Macaca fascicularis: one gene and its partners. The protein of the gene in region 4 interacts with the protein of the main gene of each other region in a biochemical or structural test. Links are inferred from orthologs where the notes say so. Each region holds a gene or a part of one and is shown on either strand. Other genes may lie near its edges.

Evidence for each region.
Region 1: the proteins of OIP5 (region 4) and HJURP form a complex in vitro, tested with the Homo sapiens proteins (2 studies listed by BioGRID). The link is inferred for Macaca fascicularis from reciprocal best matches to the Homo sapiens genes OIP5 and HJURP.
Region 2: the proteins of OIP5 (region 4) and MIS18A form a complex in vitro, tested with the Homo sapiens proteins (3 studies listed by BioGRID). The link is inferred for Macaca fascicularis from reciprocal best matches to the Homo sapiens genes OIP5 and MIS18A.
Region 3: the proteins of OIP5 (region 4) and MIS18BP1 form a complex in vitro, tested with the Homo sapiens proteins (2 studies listed by BioGRID). The link is inferred for Macaca fascicularis from reciprocal best matches to the Homo sapiens genes OIP5 and MIS18BP1.

Annotation. Positions count from the first base shown.
Region 1 is NC_088386.1:129,792,404-129,798,494, forward strand, and holds the start of HJURP (Holliday junction recognition protein), read right to left. Parts: upstream 3,727-6,091; 5' UTR 3,660-3,726; coding exon 3,564-3,659; intron 3,100-3,563; coding exon 3,033-3,099; intron 1,822-3,032; coding exon 1,766-1,821; intron 1-1,765. UniProt on the Homo sapiens protein: Centromeric protein that plays a central role in the incorporation and maintenance of histone H3-like variant CENPA at centromeres.
Region 2 is NC_088377.1:14,602,898-14,609,058, reverse strand, and holds the start of MIS18A (protein Mis18-alpha), read right to left. Parts: upstream 3,468-6,161; 5' UTR 3,445-3,467; coding exon 3,114-3,444; intron 1-3,113. UniProt on the Homo sapiens protein: Required for recruitment of CENPA to centromeres and normal chromosome segregation during mitosis.
Region 3 is NC_088381.1:113,244,277-113,249,514, forward strand, and holds the end of MIS18BP1 (mis18-binding protein 1), read right to left. Parts: intron 4,278-5,238; coding exon 4,190-4,277; intron 2,582-4,189; coding exon 2,527-2,581; intron 2,340-2,526; coding exon 2,236-2,339; 3' UTR 1,283-2,235; downstream 1-1,282. UniProt on the Homo sapiens protein: Required for recruitment of CENPA to centromeres and normal chromosome segregation during mitosis.
Region 4 is NC_088381.1:17,880,081-17,885,997, forward strand, and holds the start of OIP5 (protein Mis18-beta), read right to left. Parts: upstream 3,472-5,917; 5' UTR 3,442-3,471; coding exon 3,120-3,441; intron 2,880-3,119; coding exon 2,813-2,879; intron 1-2,812. Other genes in the region: NUSAP1 (nucleolar and spindle-associated protein 1), read left to right, coding at 3,838-3,930. UniProt on the Homo sapiens protein: Required for recruitment of CENPA to centromeres and normal chromosome segregation during mitosis.

The DNA of each region.
Region 1 (6,091 bases), on a different chromosome or scaffold from region 4:
TTTGAGAATCACAGAGAAGCAGACGATCTACAACAACCCCAAACTACTTGGTAGCTCTGGTAGCTACAAAGAGAGCCCAGGCACTGTGTTATAACCGACCCAGCACAGGTCAACGCCCGGCCTGCTAGGGCCCACAGCCTCCCCCAGCACCCAGGGCAGCAGGAGCACCAAGTCGTCTGGGAAAAGGTGAAAGCAGATCTGGGTACTGTCACCAACAGCAATTACAGTGAAGTCAGATATGTCCCAGCTGAAATCTCAGGCTATGCCCAGTTTCCTAATCCCAAGAAAGGGTCTGAAGATTCTGGAGACCCAGGGTAGGGGTCCTCCTACATTTTAAAAACAAATCTTAAATAAATCTTCAAATGAAAACTTGTTGCCAGCAGGACCATATAAGCACTGGTCTGATGAGTGCTCATCTCTATTATGTATAATTCAAAGAGTATATATCCTTTAAACCAATAATCCCACTTCTCAGAATTTACTGAAAAGGGGAAATATCAGTATTGGGAAGAGATAAGGACCAGGATTTTCTTTGAAAACCATATCTAACAGAGGCTTTATAAATAAAGTTTTATTGGAACACTGCCACGTACACTCATTTACATATTATTTTCAGCTGCTTTCCCCCTGCAACACAGAGCTGAGTAGTTACAGCAGAGACCATACAGCCAGCAAAGCCTAAAATATGTACCATCTGACCCTTTGTGGAAAAAGTGTGCTGACCCTTATTTATTAATAAAGGAAGCCACAAATAGCTAATTGCCTATCAACAGGAGAGCAGTTAAAAAAATATGATTTTTAAAATAATTATATAATTTTATAATTATACAATAGTTGATGAGTTCGCCATATGTATTAACTGGAAAAGTGAAGGAGAAAAAAATGCATTTATGAAGATGTGTATTATAGGGAATCACATTGTACTAAAATAGCATTAGTGACCATCTTTGCAGAGAGAAATCAGCTCATTTATGTAGTTGTATGTACTTTTAACATTTCCATGACTAGAATAATTAATCAAGAAGATTTGATTTCAAATTTGCTGTTAATATTATGTCACCTTGACCTTGATGTTTTCATTCTTGGGTACGGGTTCCTTGACCTGTGATCACAGGGAGGAACCATGTGGCATCTGAGAGGCAGTGATTAATTGAATACCAGACAACCTTGCAAAAGCCACTGTGGCAAAAGGGCTCCTGGATGTCCCTGTAGAAAGGGCAACAGCACCTTCCACTAAAATAACAGGTCTCAGAGCTGCAACACCCTCGGAACAACTAGGCAGGGAAACCCGGGTCTTCAGAAGGTAGACAAATGCAGAGGGAAAGATGTGTGGTCCTCCAGGCCGCGCCTCCCCTCGTCTCTCTTCCTCCCATTTCAAAACAGGAAGAGAGACATTCTTCTTCCCTAGAAGGAACTGGATTTGGTCTTTTCTGTGAGCCCCTCGCTGGGCTGGCACGTGGCCTTGGGGAGGGTTACCCAGCTGGCCCAGCCTCTGCATGTGTGTTATCAGAGCCCCTCAGCCTGTGACACAGGAAACACAGGGTGACAAAAAAGGCCAAACATTACACAGTGCCTCCTTGCACTTGACAAGCTACAGAAGAAACGCTTCTAAATCCTTAAAAACAGAAAAAGAGTATAATCAAGGTGAGAAGTGCCCCGTGGTGGCCTCTGCATAAGCTCAGAGGTTGGGCACACCCACACCTTTATTCACATCAATGCTCCTCCACAGCAAGGTTATGTGGCAATAAAATTTGACACTAAATACCTGGATCTCTCTTTCGTTTCTTTCCTTTATTAGTCTTCCACCCCAAATTCTCAATCCTGAAGAAAAGAAACAAAAATGACCATTGACATAATCCTGAACGCTGAACTTCTGCTCAATCTGTGTTCACTGGAAGCCAAAGTGACAGGCAAAAAAAAGGTACAAAATTAAAACCAAGCCAGGCTTCTGATACCCTGCTGTTGTTCCTCTTTGTAAAGTTTCAGGTTTTTAAGGCAAATGTGTCATTGATGGAACTCTCTCTTACCTACTAGGCAATGGCTCATCAAATTACATCATTAGCCCAAAGAGTTACATGAAAACAAGGAACATATGTGACAGCAACTGTCCTTAAAATACATAAAGAGAGGACAATCTATATACTATTTAGAGGGAGTAAGCACTTTTCGCAGGCAATCTCTACATCCCATATACGGAATGAATGCTTTCTCAGGGCAATCTACATGTTATACAGAGACCTGCCACTGGAATATTTTAGTTTCTGCCTATGTAAACTTTTCACCCAAGATGCGCCTGGATTGCCTATAAAGGCGGAAAGGTAGGATTTCTTTTAATTCAAGGAGCAGATCTTGTGAACCTTTTGTGCCCGTCTGTTTAATGCAACACAGAACGTGCTGTGAGGTTTGTTTTCATTAAGTGATACTGAGTTAGTTATAAAGCTATACGGGAGGAATTGACCCCAGCCAGTGCAAACTGTCACCAGCTATTTACCAAAAAGAATCCACAAGATTTCAGTCCGTTACATTAACTATTAAACGGAATGCCTTCTCCCTATTCAAGTACTTGGAGCCTCAAGGAAGACAGTTACTACTCCAAGTTAAACAGGGCAAACAATAGTCAAAGTGAGTATTGGCAGTGGAGGGTGGGTACTGTTCCCAGAGTTTCACAGGGATTGTACGTAACTGTTACAACACCCCTGCCCAGGAGACATTATTGTCAGCATCCTTCCCATTTCACAGATGAAGACACTGAGACCAGTCCAGCTAAGCAACTGCCCCGAGCTGCCATGGTGTGGAGATGGCCAGCGGGGATGCCAACCCGGCAAGCCGGAGGCGTGCGAGCCAGGAGGCACCTATGTCTCTTCAGGAATTGTTTTAATAAGTAATCCAAGTAATTTACAGGTTTAAGGGCACCAATGTTTTGGTTCCTATTAGGTGAACAATGTTTACTTCCTAAAACAGCAGTGACAGCATTTCAACTACTCCATTCGCACTCTTCACCCGAATACTCAGAAGGGGAGGATGACGCTTACCCTGTGGCGTCTCGTAGGTCAGCGTGGCCATTTGCACCACCGGGGTGTCCTCGAAGGGCTGGTTGTACTGTGGAGGAGGAGGGGTTTCCTGTCAGGTCCCAGGGGCCTCAGACCCCGGCGGAGGCGGCGCCAGCCCGCGAGAGGCCGTTAGTCTGGCCGGGGGCGCCCCAAACGCGGTCTCCGCAGCGGAGTCCGCAACCCCGCCTCTCTCGTCCCACTCAGGAGCCCCCCAGCCCCACCAAACCCTCCTCTCTGCACCCGAGCCCCAGTCCCGCTTCCCCACTCCCCCCGCTCCGGAGGCCGCAGTCTTTCCTCCCAGTCCCCGCTCCGAAGCCTTCGGCGCTGCCTCCTCCTTCCCTCTCTGGAGCCCCCAGCTCCGCCTCCACCTTCTCTCCGCACCCAAGCCCCAGTCCCGCTTCCCCAGCTCCCGCTCCGAGCCCTCAGAGCCCCTTCCCTTCCCGTCCTACGTCCCCTCCCAGCCTCACTCCGACCCGCAGGCCTCCCCTCCTGGCGGACCGGCGGGGGCCGCACCTTCTCTATCAGTAGCTGCATGCGCCTCTGGAAGCGGCGGCGACTGGCCCTGAGTTTCTGCAGCAGCGGGTCGTCTTCCACGTCCTCGCTCTCCATGGTGCGCAGCGGACCCAGAATCGGACCAAGCCGCAGACTTACCCGCTACCCCAGCGGCGACCCGGACCGCAGGGCCCGGCGCGCCGCACACTCAAATAAGCGACTTCGCCCTTCCTGCCTTCCTCTCGGTTTTCTATTGGCCAGCGCGGAGAAGCCGGGCGCTGATTGGGCCTTTCAAACAAATTTGCATCCCTCCTCCCAGCCAATCCACGCCCGAGTTTCCAGCCACGCCCCAAGAAGCGTGTCCGGCGGAAGGGAGGGAGGGTCTCCGGTAGCCGAGGTGGGTGGAAGTTGCTCCAACGGCTCTGTGCTTGTTAATCAGCGGGGCTGTGCGAGATCCGGTGGGATGCGTGTCATCTCCCGCGCTGTGCACCGGAGATAAGTACGGCCTGGAGATTTCTGCGTGACTTGCTCTAGGTGTCGCCGCCGGGCGGGGGCCGCCTTCCTCACTCGCCCGCCTGGGATCCCGGCGCGGTTTCGAGGGCAGGGGCCTAAGAAAGACAACCCCAAATTACCAACCCAAAAGGAGGCAGGATAGCGAAAGAAAAAATAAGTCTCAACGAATGACACATTTAAAGATGCTGACAAATGCCATACACATCACAAAAGCCAGGAAAATACTTGTATTAACCCACCTTTTCCCCCATGTATTTCTGATTGCATATTCTGCTTCTTCATTGATATTAATCTTGTAATATTTTCTCCAGAGAGAAGAGCAAGATAAATCAGTCTTTAGTATGGCTGATGGAATTTGTGATTGACATCTTAGGAATGTCAATCCTAAGGAAACACAGGGTGACTTAACCACATTTGTGTGCTTGTGCTGATGTGATTACCATAGTATGTGATTGAAAATAAAAGCATTACTGAGCACCAGGAGGTCCCTTAGAGGGGGATCTTCACCTCCTTTCAGCCTGCACGGCAATTCTATCATGATGTCCTGCAGAAATTTAGGTGGGGGTGGGGGAAGCGTGAGAACTTTGGGGCTCATGTAGTGTGTGTGACCACAAAATGTGTTGCGTTTTGCTGGACACAGAGATGTGCTGGCCTCATTCCCCTTAAGATGCCACAGCTGCTGGGGGGCAGTTGGCAGGGGCCTTCAGTTGTCAGCCTATTCTGGGACGATTCAGTTGCAGAGAACTCCCTCACCCAAGATCCTGCTGCCCCAGGGTGGCCCAGCGCCAGTGACTGATCCAGGTGGGAACAGGAAGGCTGTACTATTTCAGTCTGATGAAAGAAAACCCTGGGCCACTTTATCTTCCGAGCTCTCAATTCCACGGAATTGGATGGGGTAACCTACCAATCCTGTTTCTTTCCCTCCCTTCCTCCCTATATAAACATCCTCTCAGTCTTCTCCAGTTGCAGGATCTACACATTTAATTTGTATCTTTTCCAATTTTCGCAAACAGGCTGAGGTGTCTTCCTCCTCCTTCCTTAGGAGTGTTCAGAAACTTAACATGTTCTTCCTCGGACTGTGCTTCCACACATAATTTACTTTTCAAACATCTAACTGGGCCCATTTAGAGACTTGGGACCTTGAATAAGATTTTTTTCTTCTTGGGTTTTGGACGATTGACTCTTTCATTGTTACCAGATAGAGCTGTCCAGGTTCTTGGCCTGTTGAACAAAGAATTGAACAAAACACACAAAGTAACAAAGGAATGAAGCAACGAAAAACAGAGCAACAGGAGAACGGAGTAAGGAGAGCACAGATTCACTGAAGAGAACTCGCAGAGTGAGAGCGGGCTAGAGCACCTGGCTCAAGAGCCTCTTCAATTAGGGCTTTTATGAAGCCAAAATAACTTGGCAACACTCCGGGTATCCTTTAGAGGCCTCCAATTGGTTACACCCTATGAAGGATTGGTCTGCGACCAATCAGAGCCTAAAGTGGAAACTTGGCCTGCAGTTATTCAGGGGCTGAAGTGGAAACTTCTTTCTTGTTATCACAGGAGTGAAGATGTGGCCTATGTCCTGCCCAATCTTGCTTAAAACTGGCTGCACCTGCTGTTCTCTTGCTTATGTGAACTGGCTGCATCTGCTATTACTTTGCTTATGCCTCAACCCTTGGCTACCCCAGTTCCCTATTCTCCTGCCTCACCATGACTCTAACAAGCACAATAGTACCAGTTTTCAAAACTGGCGTCTCCCAGGGCTTATTCTCTATTCCTGGGAAACCATTCCAAGGTTTCCCTTCCTGGCTTCACTGACAATCCAAGCATCTGCCTCTGTCCTAGGAGTTTGGGGGCAGCTTCAGTGGAAAGGTTTCTCAATCTCAAGTTCAAGTCTTTAATTGAAGTCCAAAACCTACTTGCTTTAGCCAAACTCCTTCTGAGCCAGCCAAAGTCCATGCATTAACCCTTATTGTTCTGGCCTGCTGGTCTTCCAATCGTCTCTGACTGGCTTTCCCCATCCCATGGTCCAAAGTGGTGCTC
Region 2 (6,161 bases), on a different chromosome or scaffold from region 4:
ATTTCCTCCCTTTCCCTGAAAACCACTAACATTAATAGTATGGCTAAAATTAGAGGGAAAAATTCATTCCACAGTAAACTTGGAACCATTAGAATCTCAAATCACAGACTGAAAAGAACTATCTGCCAGTTAGTGAAACTGGGTTCCCAAACTAGGAAGATGCAAACAGCCAACACATATATCTCCAGATTTCCAACACAGGGCCCATTTCTCTAAAAGTAACTGAGAAGGTCCTCAGGATCCCAGCCACACATCTTTTACTTGAACAATGACTTGGACAGAGGTCACTGCTGGACTCGAGGCAGCAGCAAACATTCCCAAAGAATCCAGGTCTAGGACACACTAAAGGACAGGGTAGAGGGTGAAGAGAAATGAAGAAAGGACATCAGACCTAAAATGGCCAAAACAGACTCTTGATTTCATGGCCTCCTACAGTCTACCTGAACTCTGTAAACTCCATCCACCTGCTTGCTGAAATCAGAAACCAGGGTGTCATCCTTGATTCTTCATCTCCTCATCTTGCTCCCCCATATCTACTCCACTGATCCATCCCATCAATTCTACGTCACAAACCTCACTCCAGCCCCCAAACGAACAGCACTAACTCTTGCCTGGACTACTACCCTGGCTCTTCACTGACCTCCCCCCTTCCATACTTGTTCCTCCTTCAATGCTTTCTCCAAAGAAAATGCAGGGTCATATTACTCCCCTGCCTAAGCTAGCATAATAATGTACTTACTAGAACAGATTACTACTCTTTAGAACAGACTAAAACGTCTTGCAGTTTCTGGTCTCTTCCTTCCTCCCTAAATCTTATCTTTATTCTCTTTGACCATACTCTAGTCTCAAGGATTTTGCACCAGCTGCTCAGCACCTATCAAAAGCAGAGAGCATGACCAAGAACTGTACCCGCAGCCCAGCTAGCATTCACGTATAAAAACAGGAAAATATTTTCAAGCACATAAACTTGAAATTTTCTTGGAGATGTGGACGTGGGGAGCACTAAAGATTAAGCAAACAACTCAGGAATGAAAAAAGCTATTAAGAAGCTTTCTTATGTTAATGAGTACTGGAGTTGGGAAAAAAAATTATATAAACATTATAGGATCGGGTGCTCTAACTCACATTTGTAATCCCAGCACTCTAGGAGGCTGAAGCAGGGGATTGCTTGGGGCCAGGAGTTTGAGATCAGCCTGAGCAACATAGCAAGACTCTGTCTCTACAAAACATTTAAAAATTAGCCAGGTGTTAGTTTGTGTCTGTTGTCCCAAGCTACTTGGGAAGCTGAGCTGGGAGGACAGTTTGAGCAGGCATTCAAGGTTACAGTGAGCTATGATTGTGCCACTGTACTCCAGCCTGGGCAACAGAGGGCTGTTAACCCACTATAACCCTATTTAAAAAATAATCTATTAAATAATTAACCCTATTTTAAAAAATCATAGTAAGGCTGTTATGTCTACAACAGAATGTAAATGTACAGAATGTAAATGTATAAACCTTAACAAAATGAAAATAATTAAACTAATTCAAATTGGGTAAGGAAGGAATGGAAATGAATCAGAATTCATGTTTGTCTTTACGGGGGTGGGGGGGAGGGCGGGGAGATGTTAAATCCTATTATCTAAATCTGATTAATCAAAAAGTGTATAGTTCTTTAAACTATGTTTACTATTTTAAAACTACGTTTTAAATTTAAAAACTATTAATATAAAAATTAACAAAAATAATTGCCTTTCTATAAGTAAAGCAAAACAAAGAAAAGAGGCCACATGGTAAAAGATACTATCGAAACAAAGTACAAATAAAATGAAAGATGTAACACCAAACATGTTATTTCTTAAAAAGATGTAAACAAGGTAAACTCATTCAAAGAGCTTTTCCTACTGGATCAAAAATCTGCCTGGTTTTTCTTTTCTTTTTTTTTTTTTTGAGATGGAGTCTAGAGCTGTTGCCAGGCTGCAGTGCAGTGGCGCAATCTCGGCCCCTGCAACCTCCTCCTCCCTGATTCAAGCGATTCTCCTGCCTCAGCCTCCGAATAGCTGGAATTACGAGCGCACACCACCATGCCCGGTTAATTTTTGGCTTTGGCGAGGGTGGTCTGGAATTGTATTTTCAGTAGAGATGGGGTTTCACATGTTGGCCAGGATGGTCTCGATCTCCTGACCTCGTGATCCGCCCATTTCAGCCTCCCAAAGTGCTGAGATTACAGGTCTGAGTCACCGCGCTTGGCCTAGTTTGATTTTAAGAGGTGCAAAGAGTTTATCTCAACTTTCAGTTAACTAGGGGACACTGGTGTGCTCCTTTATTCCCAGTATTACACCAAGGAAAACGTTCCAGAAACGTCGATAAGCCGGTGATGAATTTCTGCCATCGAAACATTTACAGTATTCAAAGACAGGAAAAACCTCATCTTGAAAAACCACAATCCAAAACAACAGCCATTTTTACACCAATTGAGAAAAAATATGTGAACCACTTTATCCCTAAATACTGTAAAAATAGCAAAATGAGGGAACAGAGGAAAAACAGGTAACTGCTAGGACCAGGATTAGAAACGAATTCCCGCCGCCTTCTGAACTCTTTTGCTACGTCCTCCTTCCTCGCCAATTTTGATGAGGTTGGTGGTGCTTTTACGGCAAATTTCCTTCCCTTTCTTCCCCATAGCACTGTTCCGTCAGCTCCGCGGCCCTATCACTGGAGACTGTAGAGGTATCCGCTGATACACACAGCCCGCTAATTTCTGTGGGGAGTAATAGTACTGGCTGCACCTCAAGTGCTTACAGTCTAGTTGACCATTTGTTTCTCTTTTTTTAGGGTCTTTAAGAGTGTTATTCTTTGTTGCCCTTTGCTTCTGAGTAATGCTCACGATGATGCTGACTCAACCGCTGCTCTTCTGGGATCGGGGAGCCCAGAACAGAACCAGTCGCCCGAGAACCAAAGTGGAGGGGTGACCCTCCTCCCCTTTTCCTGCGACAGCTCACACTCTCAGACTTTTTACTCTCAAAGTCCCTGGACAGCGCCAAGGAGCCCCCGCCCCCTCCGGGGCCGCCCCGGCGCGGCACACCTGGAAGAAGGCGACCCCACGCCCCCATGCCCGGCTCGACCCAACTGACAGCGCAGCAGGATGCAGTTGGTGTCCTCCTGGCTGGCCACCCAGCTCAGCGAGTCGCCCAGCGGCCGCCGGCAGCCGCAGCACAGGAACACCAGCGGCCTCTCCTCCGCAGCCCCCGCCTCCTCGAGCCGCGCCTTCTCCGTGTCGGCCACCGACGCGTCTTCGCTCACGGAGCTCCACATGCTCGCCCACTTCTGCAGCAGCTGGTGGCGACTCGAGTCTTCGGAGAGTCTCTTGCCCAACAGCGAGGAGTCGCTGCCCTTGCCCTTGTCGCCGCACTCACAGCCGCCAGCGCATCCTCTGCTGCACCTCAGGGCCCGAACGCCCGCCATTACCTACAAACCGCCCGCGCCCCAGAGCGCGAAGGGAAAAAAAACCGCCGCTGCACATGCGCGGGGCGGGGCGCGTTGGCGGAGGCCGAGAAGGGGCAAACGCTTGAAGGGGCCGGACGGCGGGCCGCTTCTAGTGCGCATGCGCGCCGTGCGTCCTTGGCCTGGCGTGTTAGTCACTGCGCCTGCGTCAGGTTTTCCAGCCTGAAGAAATTGACGCTGCTGACCTGTTTGCTTGTCTTCCTAAGGATTATTCACCCCTTTCCGTGGGAGGGGCAGCGTCACTGAGAAAGTTACGGGCTGCAAGCCTGAGTGTCTAAGAACCACCTGGCGAGCTTCTTAAACAGATCGCCAGGCTCCATCTTCACAGACTCTGGTTCAGCAGGTAGCAGGTTAGCCCGAGAATCTGCATTTCTAACAAGCTCCTAGGCTTGCCCACGCTGTCAGTATTGGCAGCCCAACCTTTTTTGGGGGATTGGGAGGAGTCTTTCTATGTTGCCAGTCTCGAACTCCTAGCCTTAAGCGATCTTCCCGCCTCGACCTCCCAAAATGCCAGAATCACAAGCGTGAGCCACTGTGCCAGACCACCACCCTTTTTCTTCTTTTTTGTAAATGGACTAATTATAGTTGCATATAAGCGACTCCACTTTTGATGAACACTGCGCTATTTTGTCTGCTCCTGGGGGCCTCCTTTCCATGAAGTGGAGAAGGAAGGGGATAGGGGAGCCCCTCGTCACAGGGTCTTTTTGCGCATTGCTATTCCTAGAATGAGACCCTGGGAAGGGCCCCGGATCACTCAGGCTGTCACTGCAAGGAAAAAGTTGAGGAAGCAGCCATGCCCCTGGAAAGCTTGGAAGTGTGCCTGCTGCTTGGATCAAGGAATAATTCGTCCTTGCAAGGAAGAAGCATCCCTTCTTGATGATAAGGACAGATTTCCCCAGCTGCCCCAGAAAGCCAGCCTCTGCCTAAAACACCATAGGTCAGGAGGGAAAGCTGACGGGGAACCAGCCAGCTTTATGCACCGGAGACAGCCTGGTGGCATACCTGGGAAGAAAGCTACCTGCAAGGACCTACCTCTGTTCCCACTACGCGCTGGGTGTCCCCCAAGTCACTGCCTACTTTGCTTGGTTGCATAAACTATTTACGTACTTACAGCCACTAGCAAAAAGCAAAAGCTTTGGAGTCAGTGGTCCTGGTTAACTTACCCCTCCCTCCACAAGGTAGTAACAGTGTAGGGAACTGTGGAAAAGGCTGTTTGCCTTTCCTGAGTCTGATTCTTCCTGGAGTAAATGGAGTCTGTTTCTTCAGTACTACACCAAGTTGTTCATAAGGATCAAGTTTTCTAATATTCATGAAGATACTTTGTAAACCCTAGCACACCATGCTCATGTTAATGAGCTTCTTACTGGAAGAAAATGCTTTAGATAATTTAGGCTTTTTTTTTTCCACCCATAGAATTCCCTTCCTTCCTTCTGCTTTTTTTCCTTTATTTTTTCAGAGATGATGTTTCAGTATGTTGCCCAGGCTGGTCTCGAACTCCTGGCCTCAAGCGATCCTCCTGCCTCAGCCTCCCAAGTAGCTGGAACTACAGGCATGCATCACCATACTTTGCCCCTTCTGCTGTTGTGGAGCCAAGCCTGACCTTCCTGGACTGTTGTTTTCAAGCATAATATATCTGGTGCAACATTGATACAATCCACATGAGTTCTTTAATTAAGTGGCTAGTTACTTTGGGATTCAAAGGATCATCTTGTCTCAGGCTTTGGGTTCCTATTGTCAATACTTTAATTCTATGATAGGGTGCCCCAGGAAAGAAGGAATACAAGGCCGAGCTGCATGGTGACTTTCAGGGACCCTATTTTTGCCTCGGTAGGCCTTTCCCTCCATAAAACAGTTAACAAAAATTTCATTATATAGTCACATTGCTATGAAGATAATTATATTAAAATGATATCATAAAACATTTTTAGACCTATAAGTTCATTTATTTCTCCTGATTTAAAAAATGGAAACATTTTCATGATCCTTCAAAATATGGTTTGTAAGCATGGTGACTCCTGCACCTCATGGAGAAGTTGGCTGGTGCAAAATGAATTCCTCTATAGGCACAAGTGTGTGTGTATTAATATTAGGAATATAAAAACAAGACTAGCCTTGGTGGCTCATGCCTGTAACCCCGGCACTTTGGGAGTCTGAGGCGAGAGAGTCACTTGAGCCCGGGGGTTTGAGACCAACCTGGGCAACACAGAGACACTCTGTCTCTACAAAGATTTAAAAATTAGCCAGGCATGGTGGTGCGCCCCTGTAGTCTCAGCTGCTTGTGAGGCGAAGGCAGAAGGATGGGTTGGGGTTGGGAGGTCGAGGCTGCAGTAAGCTGTGATCATGCCATTGCACTCCAGCCTGGGTGACAGAATGAGATCCTGTCTCAAAAAAATAAAAAAAACAAAAACCTCAGCTAACCACAAAATCATCCTATTTATGGAGGGAGGACAAAATGAGATGCTTGAATAAGATGACCTCATATTTCGTGGTTGTAGTTGCTTCCTAAACTACATTCTCACCATACCTCCTAGTTATATAACTAGGAGATTTGGATAAGGTTGAGTCCATCTCCACCACTCTCACCACCAGTTCCAGGAATGAGTCCCTATAGGTTTAACTCGATCAATAGGGATGACCATGACTCTTCCATAGTGATTGGGGCAGGGATGGCACCTACC
Region 3 (5,238 bases), about 95 Mb from region 4:
TAGTGTGCAGTTATCAATTTTCTGTAACTGGACTTTTTGAGTATTTCTCCTTTAGTAGTGAGCACAATGCTAAGCTTTGACAGGAGGAAAGGAGCCTTTCTCCTTCCACTGTGCTACATCTTCATGCATCATGCTGCTGCTACATTGTCAGCAGGGACTGTGGGTAGGGGCATCTGGTGGTACTTTGCCCCAGCTGCATGCCAGAATCATGCAGTCCCTCAACCTCAGAGATACCACATGCTCAGACTCAGCTGTGTGTGTACCCATCAGACAAAAAAAATTATGTACATTAACATGGTGTTACAGACATAACCTAGAGGATTTCATTTATTTATGCTTTCTGTGTGGAGAGCTCTATCCATATTTAGGCTTGCAATAGCCTCCTCCTATACTCTTATTGGTAGCCATTAACCATTGATTATCCATCTTATTATTTAAGTCCTTAAGGTCTTTTTCTTTTCCACTTTTAAGTCTCCTTTGGAGGTTACTTACCTTAAACTTTATTATTAGTTCATCTTATGACCTGATAGAAATGGGACAAACCAGGTACCTGGCAGGTGAGATACCTTAGAATAGGGAAGGCGCTGAAGGAGTTCTGATAGGACAAGGGAATATATAGGCAGTAGGGGTCAGACTCTTGATTTGAGTCAAGTTTATGCCATTTCAATTACCTTTTTACTTTTTGTTAAGGGATTTAACCACCTTCTTAACTCCTAAAACACTGTCCATTAACTCCAAGCAGTATAGTATTAGATCAAGTATTGGCAACTCAAGTAATACAACAGCATTTTTTTTGGCCACTCCAAAATAAACCTTTCTTTTGATCCATCCTATATCCACCAATGGTCTTTATGGCAGAAATAATCATAGTAGTTTAAATAATAATCTTAGTCCAATTGCACTGTTCTTTTTACAGTGTTTCCATGAGTCCTGTAATTATACAACTGCTGATTATTACTATTTTATTTTATTTACTTATTTATTTTAAGAGGAGTCTTTTTCTCTTGCCCAGGCTAGACTGCAGTGGCTAGTTGCAGGCATGATCATAGCACACTTCAGCCTTGAACTCCTAGGCTCAAGCAATCCTCCTTCCTCAGCCTCCCAGGTAGTTGAAACTACAGGTATATGACACCAGGCCTGCTCTGACTAAAACACTTAAGAAACAAGAAAATGTTACTTTTTTTTTTTTTCTTTTGAGGAAACTTTAAACAGGACCACTCGTGATTTGTTTTTATTTCTATCACCCAGTAATTAGTAACAAACAAAAAACAAGAAACAAATATTATAAAAGCAAACTAACTTTATTTGAATAATCTAAATAGAGAACAAAGGTAGATGAATGTGTAGCCAGAAGGAAAATATCCTATATGTCAAGTTTCAAAACATAATAAGCGAAAATAAGTTTATTTCTAAACGAAATTTCAGTGAAAGAAAAAGGATGTTTATTATGACATAATATATTGATTACTAATGGTGGATCTATTAACTGTCTAATCTAGTCAAAATATTTAAGCTGTATCTGCATATGTAAATAACACTTAAAAATTAGAGAACAAAATAGTAAATAATTATTTAGTAAAATAATTATTTAGTAAAATAAAATAAATATCTAGTAAAATAATGGCAAAGCAATAAACTAAATATACATAGGTTTCATAGATATGCCAATCACATAAAATAAAAACAATCAGGAGAGGAGCATGTCAACAATGTGTAATTTAATTCCAACAATGTGTAATTTAAACATTAGGCTTGGATAACAACTGGTAACAAATCCTACTCTGGCTTGGATAATAACTGGTAACAAATGCTAACTTAAAAGTTTTCATGAATTCAATAGCTACCAGTACAACCTCTGTCACCCTTCTCACCCTCCCTTACTTACTTAAATGGTAGCAAAATTTTCTTGAAATTAAAAAAAAAAAAATCTGTTTGGGAAATGTTTTTCTTAAAGTAAAAAGACTTGGATGCATATTTAAAAAGTATCTATATATTTTAATATGCAAAAACAAATGTACAGATGTCTACACAAGCAAAAACAATTTTCTTTACATTTTTAGTAAGCTGCAGCAATAAGGATATTTTAGTTTGAACACAAACACATAAAACCTTCAAAGAAGTCCACATTTTCATAGGAAGCTACTTTACAAAGAAAATACATGTACTCCAGTTGAAAATACAAACACACTGTCTGCTTTATGGTAAAAATCCCAGGAATCATATTTTCTCATTTTACTATGCAGAATCAGAGTTTGAAAAATAATAATCTTTCTCTTCTTCATCTAAAGATTCCACAACATTAGTGAAAAGTTTTCCAATACCAGAGTTTTCTCCTAAATCTGTGAAGAGAAGTTTAATAAAAAGATTAATAAATTTCTAAAAGTACTTTCAATAAAACTGAAAACAACTATAAGGAATAAAATGCTAAGTCTGTCCACTTGAGAGCAATTAATTTTAATACCATTTAAATAAAGAATCTACCTTATAATAGAACTGAGCCACAAAAGAAAGCTGTAAGTATATTACCTGTGTTAAGTGGGGTTCTCCTCCTTGGTGTTGGAGTTGAGAAATCAGTTTCAACCTATAAAAGAGTTACTATTAATAGCTAAATGGTACCTCCTGGTGAAATCTACCTCAAATCTAGACAAAATTAAGCATGCTTATCCCCAGGTTACTTTGAACTATAGGTTACTATGCCTATAACAACATTTAATCACATTATAATTATCTGTGAAATGCCTAATTCTCTTTTGGGTTTATTCAGGGCAAGAACCATGACTTACTCAATGTTGTTTTCCACTGCTGGCAAACACTACTCATAACTATAAACTAATGCTATAGCAGTTAAAAGGATAGTCTATGGGCCTCCAAAAGTTGCCAAAATGTACTAAGTAATTAGGTAATGAATATACTGGTTTAGTAAACGTAAAATATAAACAAAATTTATCATGATTATATATAGTAATTATAATTACAATACTATTACAGTATAGTAATTACTATACAGAATAGTAATTACTGTATTTTACCTACAGTCTGTTAATTTAACAGTACAATGTTTTGTACTAGCAGAATTTTAATTCTCTGTATTTGAAATTCTTGGCTAAAATGGTAATGTAAATGGCAAGTTTGAAGTACATGCTCACACACATTACAATGCTTATCAAACTATTGACCATGGCTGGCAATCATTAAATCTTTTAAAAATAAAAAGTAACAATAAAAAATATAATAGCCCCTATACTAAGAGTAAGTACTGTTTGAAGAAATTTTTGAGATACAAATTCATGCTCACAGACTGTGATATAAATGTATTTTTTTCTGACATGAGGTAAAACACTATATCATATCATTTAGCCCTCAAAATCATTTGGTAACATAAATCAATATAATCATGATCCCCATTATCATACCACACATGAATAAAATGATATTAGAAAGCTTAAGTAACTTGCTCAGTGTCATAAAGCAAGGGACTCAAGGGGGTTCCCGTAAGTTACCATTCTCTGAGATTAGCTACTTACTTTGACGAAATTTGAGATGAAATACTTTTTTCAGAATCCTAGTACTTATATCTGATTATCAGTTATTGCAATTAAAATCAGAAAATTAAAAATTTAAAAAGTAATTCAAGGGGATAAAGGATTGTCCTAATCTTTTCTCTGAGGGATACAGATAATTCTATTAAGGCATCTTTTAGTTAAAAATTTTTCTGTAGTTGGATTTTAAATGTTAGAATGTAAAAAAATAAAAAATAAAAAAATAAAATTAAGTAGCTACATCTGAAAAACACTTGAAACCATTTTAAAGCTACATAGGATTTGATGAAATGTCTTATTTTATGAGAATCATGACTCAGTCTGAATTATTCTTTAATCCTTGAACAGATAAGCTTTTGTGTTTTGCCTGAAATATCCTTCCCAGACCTGTGTATATTTTTACCACCCTTCATTTCCCAAAAATCAAAGTTTTTACCCATTTTCTCCTTGCTCCAATGTTTCAGTCTATGTAATGCCATCTGTAATCCTACAGTACTTATGTACTTACCTCATTCATGGCTTCATTATTGTAACTTATTACATTATAATCACTTTAGGGACAGGGACTGTCACATCACTTATAACTACCACAGTTTATCATATATTAAAGTTGTTTCATAGATATGTGTTGGATAAAGAAAAATACTTACTAATTTTTTCTTGATGTTGCCCCAGACAATACCACCATTACTTTTATGATATTTTTGCATACGATAAACATATTTATCACAATCATTCCTGTTTGAATACAAAATAATTTTAAGTCAACAATATTTTTAAGTCAACTTAATAATTTTCAGTTAACTGTCATACTTTTAACCACAGGTTGAACAACAATTGCCTAAATTAATTTCAAATGTATTTCTTGTTTTGAAACAGGGTCTCACTCTGTCGCCCAGGCTGGAGTGCAGTAACATGATAATGGCTCACTGTAGCCTCAGCCTCCTGGGCTCACGTGATCCTCCCAACTCAGCCTCCCACGTAGCTTGGACTACAGGCACGTGCCATCACGCCTGGCTAATCTTAGTATTTTTCTTAAGAGACAGGGTTTCGCCACATTGCCCAGGCTGCTCTTGAACTCCTGAGCTCATCAAGCAATCTGCCCTCCTGGGCCTCCCAAAGTGTTGGGATAACAGGCGTGAGCCACCATGCCTGACCTCAAATGTATTTCCATCTTTAAAAAGTACATTCTGTATTTTAAAGAGGACAATACAATGTGCCTATGGAGATGGGCAAAACGCTCAAACATTTTAAAAGAAATAATGAATAAGACTATTTTGGGAAATTATGCTTTGCTTACTGCTCATTGTACTGTCTACGCTCTTTCCAGTATCTTGCTGCCTCTCTTCATTTTCCAAAACTCCCACTGAGACCTCTGGTCCTTGGACTCCCTTTTGCTGTACCATTGTTCACTTCCTTCCCTATACTAATTGAATCTCAGTTTATTCACTTTAAAGATATGCCTGGTGATTGAAAACCCTCAATTTTTCCAACTGTGCTGGGTTTCCAATCCAGCTCATCAAGCCTTTTATTTCTACAAAACTTTATCTTTCTTGAATTCCCCATACCAACCACCAAATTTTTTTTTTTGTTTTTTTCATTTCCTTTACCTTATCTCTTCCCTTACAAGTAAATAGGCTTGACTCATAACTGACGAGATTAAAAGCCAAGTAGAATGGTTGGTTGTTTTTAATTCCTT
Region 4 (5,917 bases):
AGTGCTGGGATTACAGGCGTGAGCCACCGCGCCCGGCCAAAAAAATTTTCTAAAAGAAAAGCACTTTAAGAAAGTATTTCATCATGCATGTGCTAAAGGCAATTTTAAAGTGCTTTGGTAAAGGAAAAATTAATTATATTAATATAGAGTATGCTATGAAGAATTTTTTTTTTTTTTTAAGACAGGTTCTTGTTCTGTTGCCCAGGTCAGAACATAGTGGTACAATCATAGCTCCCTGCAGCCTTGAATTCCTGGGCTCAACTGATCCACCTGCCTCAGCTTCCCAAAGCTGGGATTACAGGTGCATGCTACCATGCCCTACTAATTTTTTTTGGAAGAAATGGGGTCTTACTTCCCAGGCTAGCAGAATTCTATTAACAAAATACAACATAAAAATCACATAGCTAGCCCGGGCATGATGGCTTATGCCTGTAATCCCAGCACTTTGGGAGGCCAAGGCAGGTGGATCACCAGAGGTCAGGAGTTCAAGACCAGCCTGGCCAACATGGTGAAACCCTGTCTCTACTAAAAATACAAAAATTAGCCAGGCATGGTGGTGGGTGCCTGTAATCCCAGCTACTCAGGAGGGTGAGGCAGGAGAATCGCTTGAACCGGGGAGGCGGAGGTTGCAGTGAGCGGAGATTGTGCCATTGCACTCCAGCCTGGGCGACAAGAGCAAAACTCCGTCTTAAAAAAGAAAAAAAAAAAACAAAAAACACATAGCTAAAAAGAAATATTCATGTCAATGGATACTAAAAAAGAACAAATAACAAAATATATTAGGTTTATTGGTAAATGAAGTCCCACACCACACATATAGTAATCTTGTGAATATAGGTAACCAAAAAGCAAACTGTGAAATAAAGTGTCATTAATTTGAAATTCCACGTAGGAATTAATTAGTTCAGACAAAGCACAGTACTTATAAACAAATGTGTCAGTGGAAATTAATTTACTGGGCCGGGCGCAATGGCTCACGCTTATAATCTGAGCATTTTGGGAGGCGGGCAGATCACCTGAGACCAGGAGTTTGAGAACAGCCTGGGCAACATGGTGAAACTCCGTCTCTACTAAAAATACAAAATTTAGCTGGGTTTCCAGAAGGTTTTCAATTTACTTTGCCCATATCCATCAGAGGAATAACTATCTATAGTAGCTATAGATAGTAACAGTAAATGAGCATTGACTTCAACTTAAAGTCATCAGCTGCATTGGCCCCTAACAAGAGAGAAAGCCTGTCCTTTGAAGCTTTTTTTTTTCTTTTTTTTGGATGGAGTACAGTGGTACCATCACAGCTCACTACAGCCTTGACATCCCAGACTCAAGTGATCCTCCCACCTCAGCCTTCCAATTAGCTGGACCACAGGTGCACACTATAATGCCCATCTAATTTTTAAATGTTTTGTAGAGATCGGTTCTTGCTATGTTGCCCAGGCTGGTCTTGAACTCCTATGCTCAAGCAATCCTCCCACCTTGGTCTCCCAAAGTGCTGGGATTACACGTGTGAGTCACTGTGACCAGCTCCTTTCAAGCCAGGTAATACTTCTCCTTTCTACCTATGAAAGTCTGAGATGGCATCTTCTTCCAATAGAAGGCTGTTTCATCTGCACTGAAAATCTGTTGTTTAGTGTACCCACTTTCATTTTCTGCAGCTTCTGCATCAGTACTTGCTGTTTCACTTTGGACTTTTGTTATAGAGAAGGTTTCTTTCCTTAAATCTCAAGAACCAACCTCTGTTTTTTTTTTTTAGATAGTCTTGCTCTGTCACCCCGGCTGGAGTGTGGTGGCACAATCACAGCTCCACTGTAGCCTCGACCTCTATGGCTCAAGCCAGCCTTCCTTCTCAGCCTCCCAAGCAGCTGGGACTATAGGTGTGCACCACCACATCCGGCTAAATTGTTTTGTATTTTGTAGAGACAGCATTTCACCATGTTGCCCAGGCTGGTCTCAAACTCCTGGGTTCAAGCAATCCACCCACCTCGGCCTCCCAAAGTGCTGGGGCTACAGGCATGAGCCATTGCACCTAGCCAACATTTGCTACTTTCAAACTTCTGCAGCTTCCTCACCTCTCAGCCTTCACAGAATTGAAGAGAGTTAGGGCCTTGTTCTGGATTAGGCTTTGGTTTAAAGGAATGCTGTGGCTGGTTTGATCTTCTACTCATACCACTCAAACTTCCTCCATATCAGCTTATAACTGGAGTAGCACTTTTAATTTCCATGTATTTGTTTGTTTGATGGAGTTTTGCTCTTGCTGCCCAAGCTGGAGTGCAATGGTGTGTTCTCAGTGCACTGCAACCTCTGCCTCCCGGGTTCAAGTGATTCTCCTGCCTCAGCCTCCCAAAGAGCTGGAATTACAGGTGTGTGCCACCATGCCCGGCTAATTTTGTATTTTTAGTAGAGATGGGGGTTCACCATGTTGGTCAGGTTGGTCTTGAACTCCTGACCTCATGTGATCCACCCACCTCAGCCTCCCAAAGTGCTGGGATTACAAGCGTGAGCCACCGCGCCCGGCCCCATTTTTTTCTTCATATTCACAATTTGGCATGACTTCACATGCCTTCCCAGCTACTCGGGAGGCTGAGGCAGAATGGTGTGAACCTGGGAGGCAGAGCTTGCAGTGAGCCCAGATCGCGCCACCGCACTCCAGCCTGGGCAACAGAGTGAGGCTCCATCTCAAAAAGAAAAAAATCAAACCAACAAAAAAAAAGGAAATGCTGTCAACAGACTTGCTCAACAAGTACATGTCAGTTCCACGCTCCTCAGTCTCATAAAGTCAGGGACTAGAGACCAATCTGTAATTATCAATACGTACCTGCCTTTGAGTGAACCTTCAATGCCAACTAGGAAGGGCGCTTCCAAAACGACGTTATTTGTAACTCCTAGGAACACAAACACGGGTCAGAACTCATACTCTGCGGGCCTTGAAATGGAAAATCTCTCCTCTAGACAGACTCATCCCCGCCATAAATGTCAGGAGACTCCCCAGTTCCCTGCCCCATCCCCAGGCCAAGGAGTTATGTGCTTCCAAATTTTCATTCCGTTTTCTTCCCCAGGTGGAGAAGGCGGGAACAACCTCTCGGGCTAGCCTCTGCCTTTCCCGAACGCCTCACTGCACTCACTGGAGAAGACCACGGCCCCAAGGGACCGCGACAGGTCCCAGGCGAGGTGCACCGAGTCGGCGAGCACGGCGTGGCATTGTGCGCACTGGAAAACAGCGCACCTCTCAGGCTGCAGCCAAGACGGCAGCTGCGAGACGGCGGCCGGCTCCTCAGCCCCCAGCCCTGCGGGGCCGAGCGGCGAGGACCCCTTCACCACCTGTGTATCCCACTCCATGGAGGTCGTAAAAGATGCTTCGTCAATCGCCCTCTCAGTGCCATCACAAAAGTCACCCTGGGGCGGCGTTGCACAAGGGGAGCGATGCCGCCGCGGCTGAAACGCCATCTTCTCTCAGCCGGCGCCGTCGTTTCGAATACACGCCAGGCCCCGCCCCAAGCACAGCTCCTGCGTCCTCATTGGACATCGTGGGCAATCCAAGCACTGGAGTCCCAGTCCGCGCACTCGTTACCTGAACCGGTCTTACAGGCCCTTCGGCGCCTGCGTATTCGTGAAGTGTGAGAAAAGCGCGCGACTGTTGGGACGGGAAATCAGCCTTTCTATTGGTCAGGGTTAGAAACCCCGCCTTTGAGGCATTTTCAACCAATGGAAGCGCGGCATTCTTCATTTAAACTGTCTATAAATTTCAGCTTAGTCAAAGTTAAGAGTGGCGCCAGGGATTTGAACCTCGCTTACGAGACTTGGTGATCCATCTTCTGAGTATCGCCGGGATTTTGAATCGCGATGATCATCCCCTCCCTAGAGGAGCTGGACTCCCTCAAGTACAGTGACCTGCAGAACTTAGCCAAGAGTCTGGGTCTCCGAGCCAACCTGCGGGTACGACGCTGGCGGGGCAGTTCCCTGGGCGGGCGCGGCGGGAGTAGCGGCCTCAGGGAGATGCGGTGCGAAGGGACCGAACGGGAAGCCCGGGGACTGAAGCAGCCGTCCCTGCCCCTCGGGCAGTAGATGTGGTTCACGGTGGTCCCAGTTAGAACTCTGATAAACGGAAGAGGAACTGTAGTTTTCACCTCATTTTGAAGCTGGCTTGTCTGGGTGCTCACATGATAAGCCTCTGTTCCGAGGGGTGGTTTGTTGTTTTTCGTTTTTTGTGTTTTTTTTTTTTTTTTGAAATTACTTTATACCTCTCAGGTCATCGATTACGAAACGCAGGCCCAGAAAGCAGAAGGGGTGTCGTTAATCGTTAGACAATTAAGTAAATAATTGGCTCAGCTTCTAGAAAACCCCACACAGACTTCAGTGATTTGTAATATTGCCGATAATCTCTTGATACTTTATTGATGGACCTGTCAGGGGGAAAGAAAAAATCGACTTTTAGGGGACCACCTCCTTGGGTAAATTTTTATAACTCAGCCCTGATCTAGTATACTCATGTGCTTATTGATGACTGTTGTGGTGATGGTATCTATCAAAACCAGTAAGGTCTTTGACTCCGAGGCTACAAGATGTTAGGGGAATTGGCCGGGCGCGGTGACTCATGCCTGTAATCCCAACACTTTGGGAGGCCAAGGTAGTTGGATCACCTGAGGTCAGGATTTCGAGACCAGCCTGGCCATTAAAAAATTAGCCGGGCGTGGTGGCACACGCCTGTGATCCCAGCTACTCGCCTGTGATCCCAGCTACTCGGGAGGCTGAGGCAGGAGAATCGCCTGAACCTGGGAAGCCAAGGTGGCAGTGAGCCAAGATCGCACCCACTGCACTCCAACCTCGGTGACAGAGCGAGACTCAGTCTCAAACAAAACAAAAACAAACAAACAAACAAAAAACAAGATGTTAGAAGATTTGGGGATTCAATGTAGGATAGCGGTTTTATATATTTTGTTAATAGTTGAGACTTCCCACATAATACTGCTGTGTGCTCTCTAGGTTTGTCCTGCAGGCTATGATACTGACACTGAATAAATGCCTAAATCAGTCGTCACAAATGTTTTTCTTTTCTTTTTTTTTTTTTTCTTTGAGACAGACTCTTACTCTGTCTCCCAGTCTGGAGTGCAGTGGCACAATCTCGGCTTACCACAACCTCCACCTCCCGAGTTCAAGCGATTCTCCTGCCTCAGGCTCCTGAGTAGCTGGGATTACAGGCGCGTGTCACCATGCCCGGCTAATTTTTGTATTTTTAGTAGAGACTGGAGTTCACCATGTTGGTCAGGCTGGTCTCGAACTCCTGATCTCATGATACGCCCGCCTCAGCCCCCCAAAGTGCTGGGATTACAGGCGTGAGCCACCACGCCCGGCCTAAATTGTTTAAACAAAATAATCAGGGCCTAAGTGCCTGTTGGGGCTGAATGACCAAAGGGTTTTCCTTGTGGATATTTCTGGGCTATAGTGGTTTGTGGCTCCCCTATACTTTGTAAACAAAGCCTTAATATCTCAGCCTAAATTCCTTAGGCTTTTTTGCTGCCTAGCTAGAATCTTTTATCCACGGCTGCATCCCTGAACACTTGGAACTTTTATCTGTCTTTGTCCCATTGCTCATTTTGACCCTTTGGCCTCAGATCACCTTCTTTCTCCTTTATCTGCCTGACTCTGTGTGTGTGTGTGTATTTTTAGTAGAGATTGGGTTTCACCATCTTGCCCAGGCTGGTCTTGAACTCCTGGGCTCAAGCGATCCTCCGGCCACGGCCTCCCAAAGCCCTGGGATTATAGGCGTGACCCACCACGCCTGGCCCATATCAAGTATTTATAGGTGAAATGTTACGATACCTGTAAAATTTGCTGTAGAATACTCAAGGAAAAAGAGGGAAACTAGATGAAGTAAGAACGCAGAATGTTAATAATTACTGAAACTGCTAATAGGTACATGGGG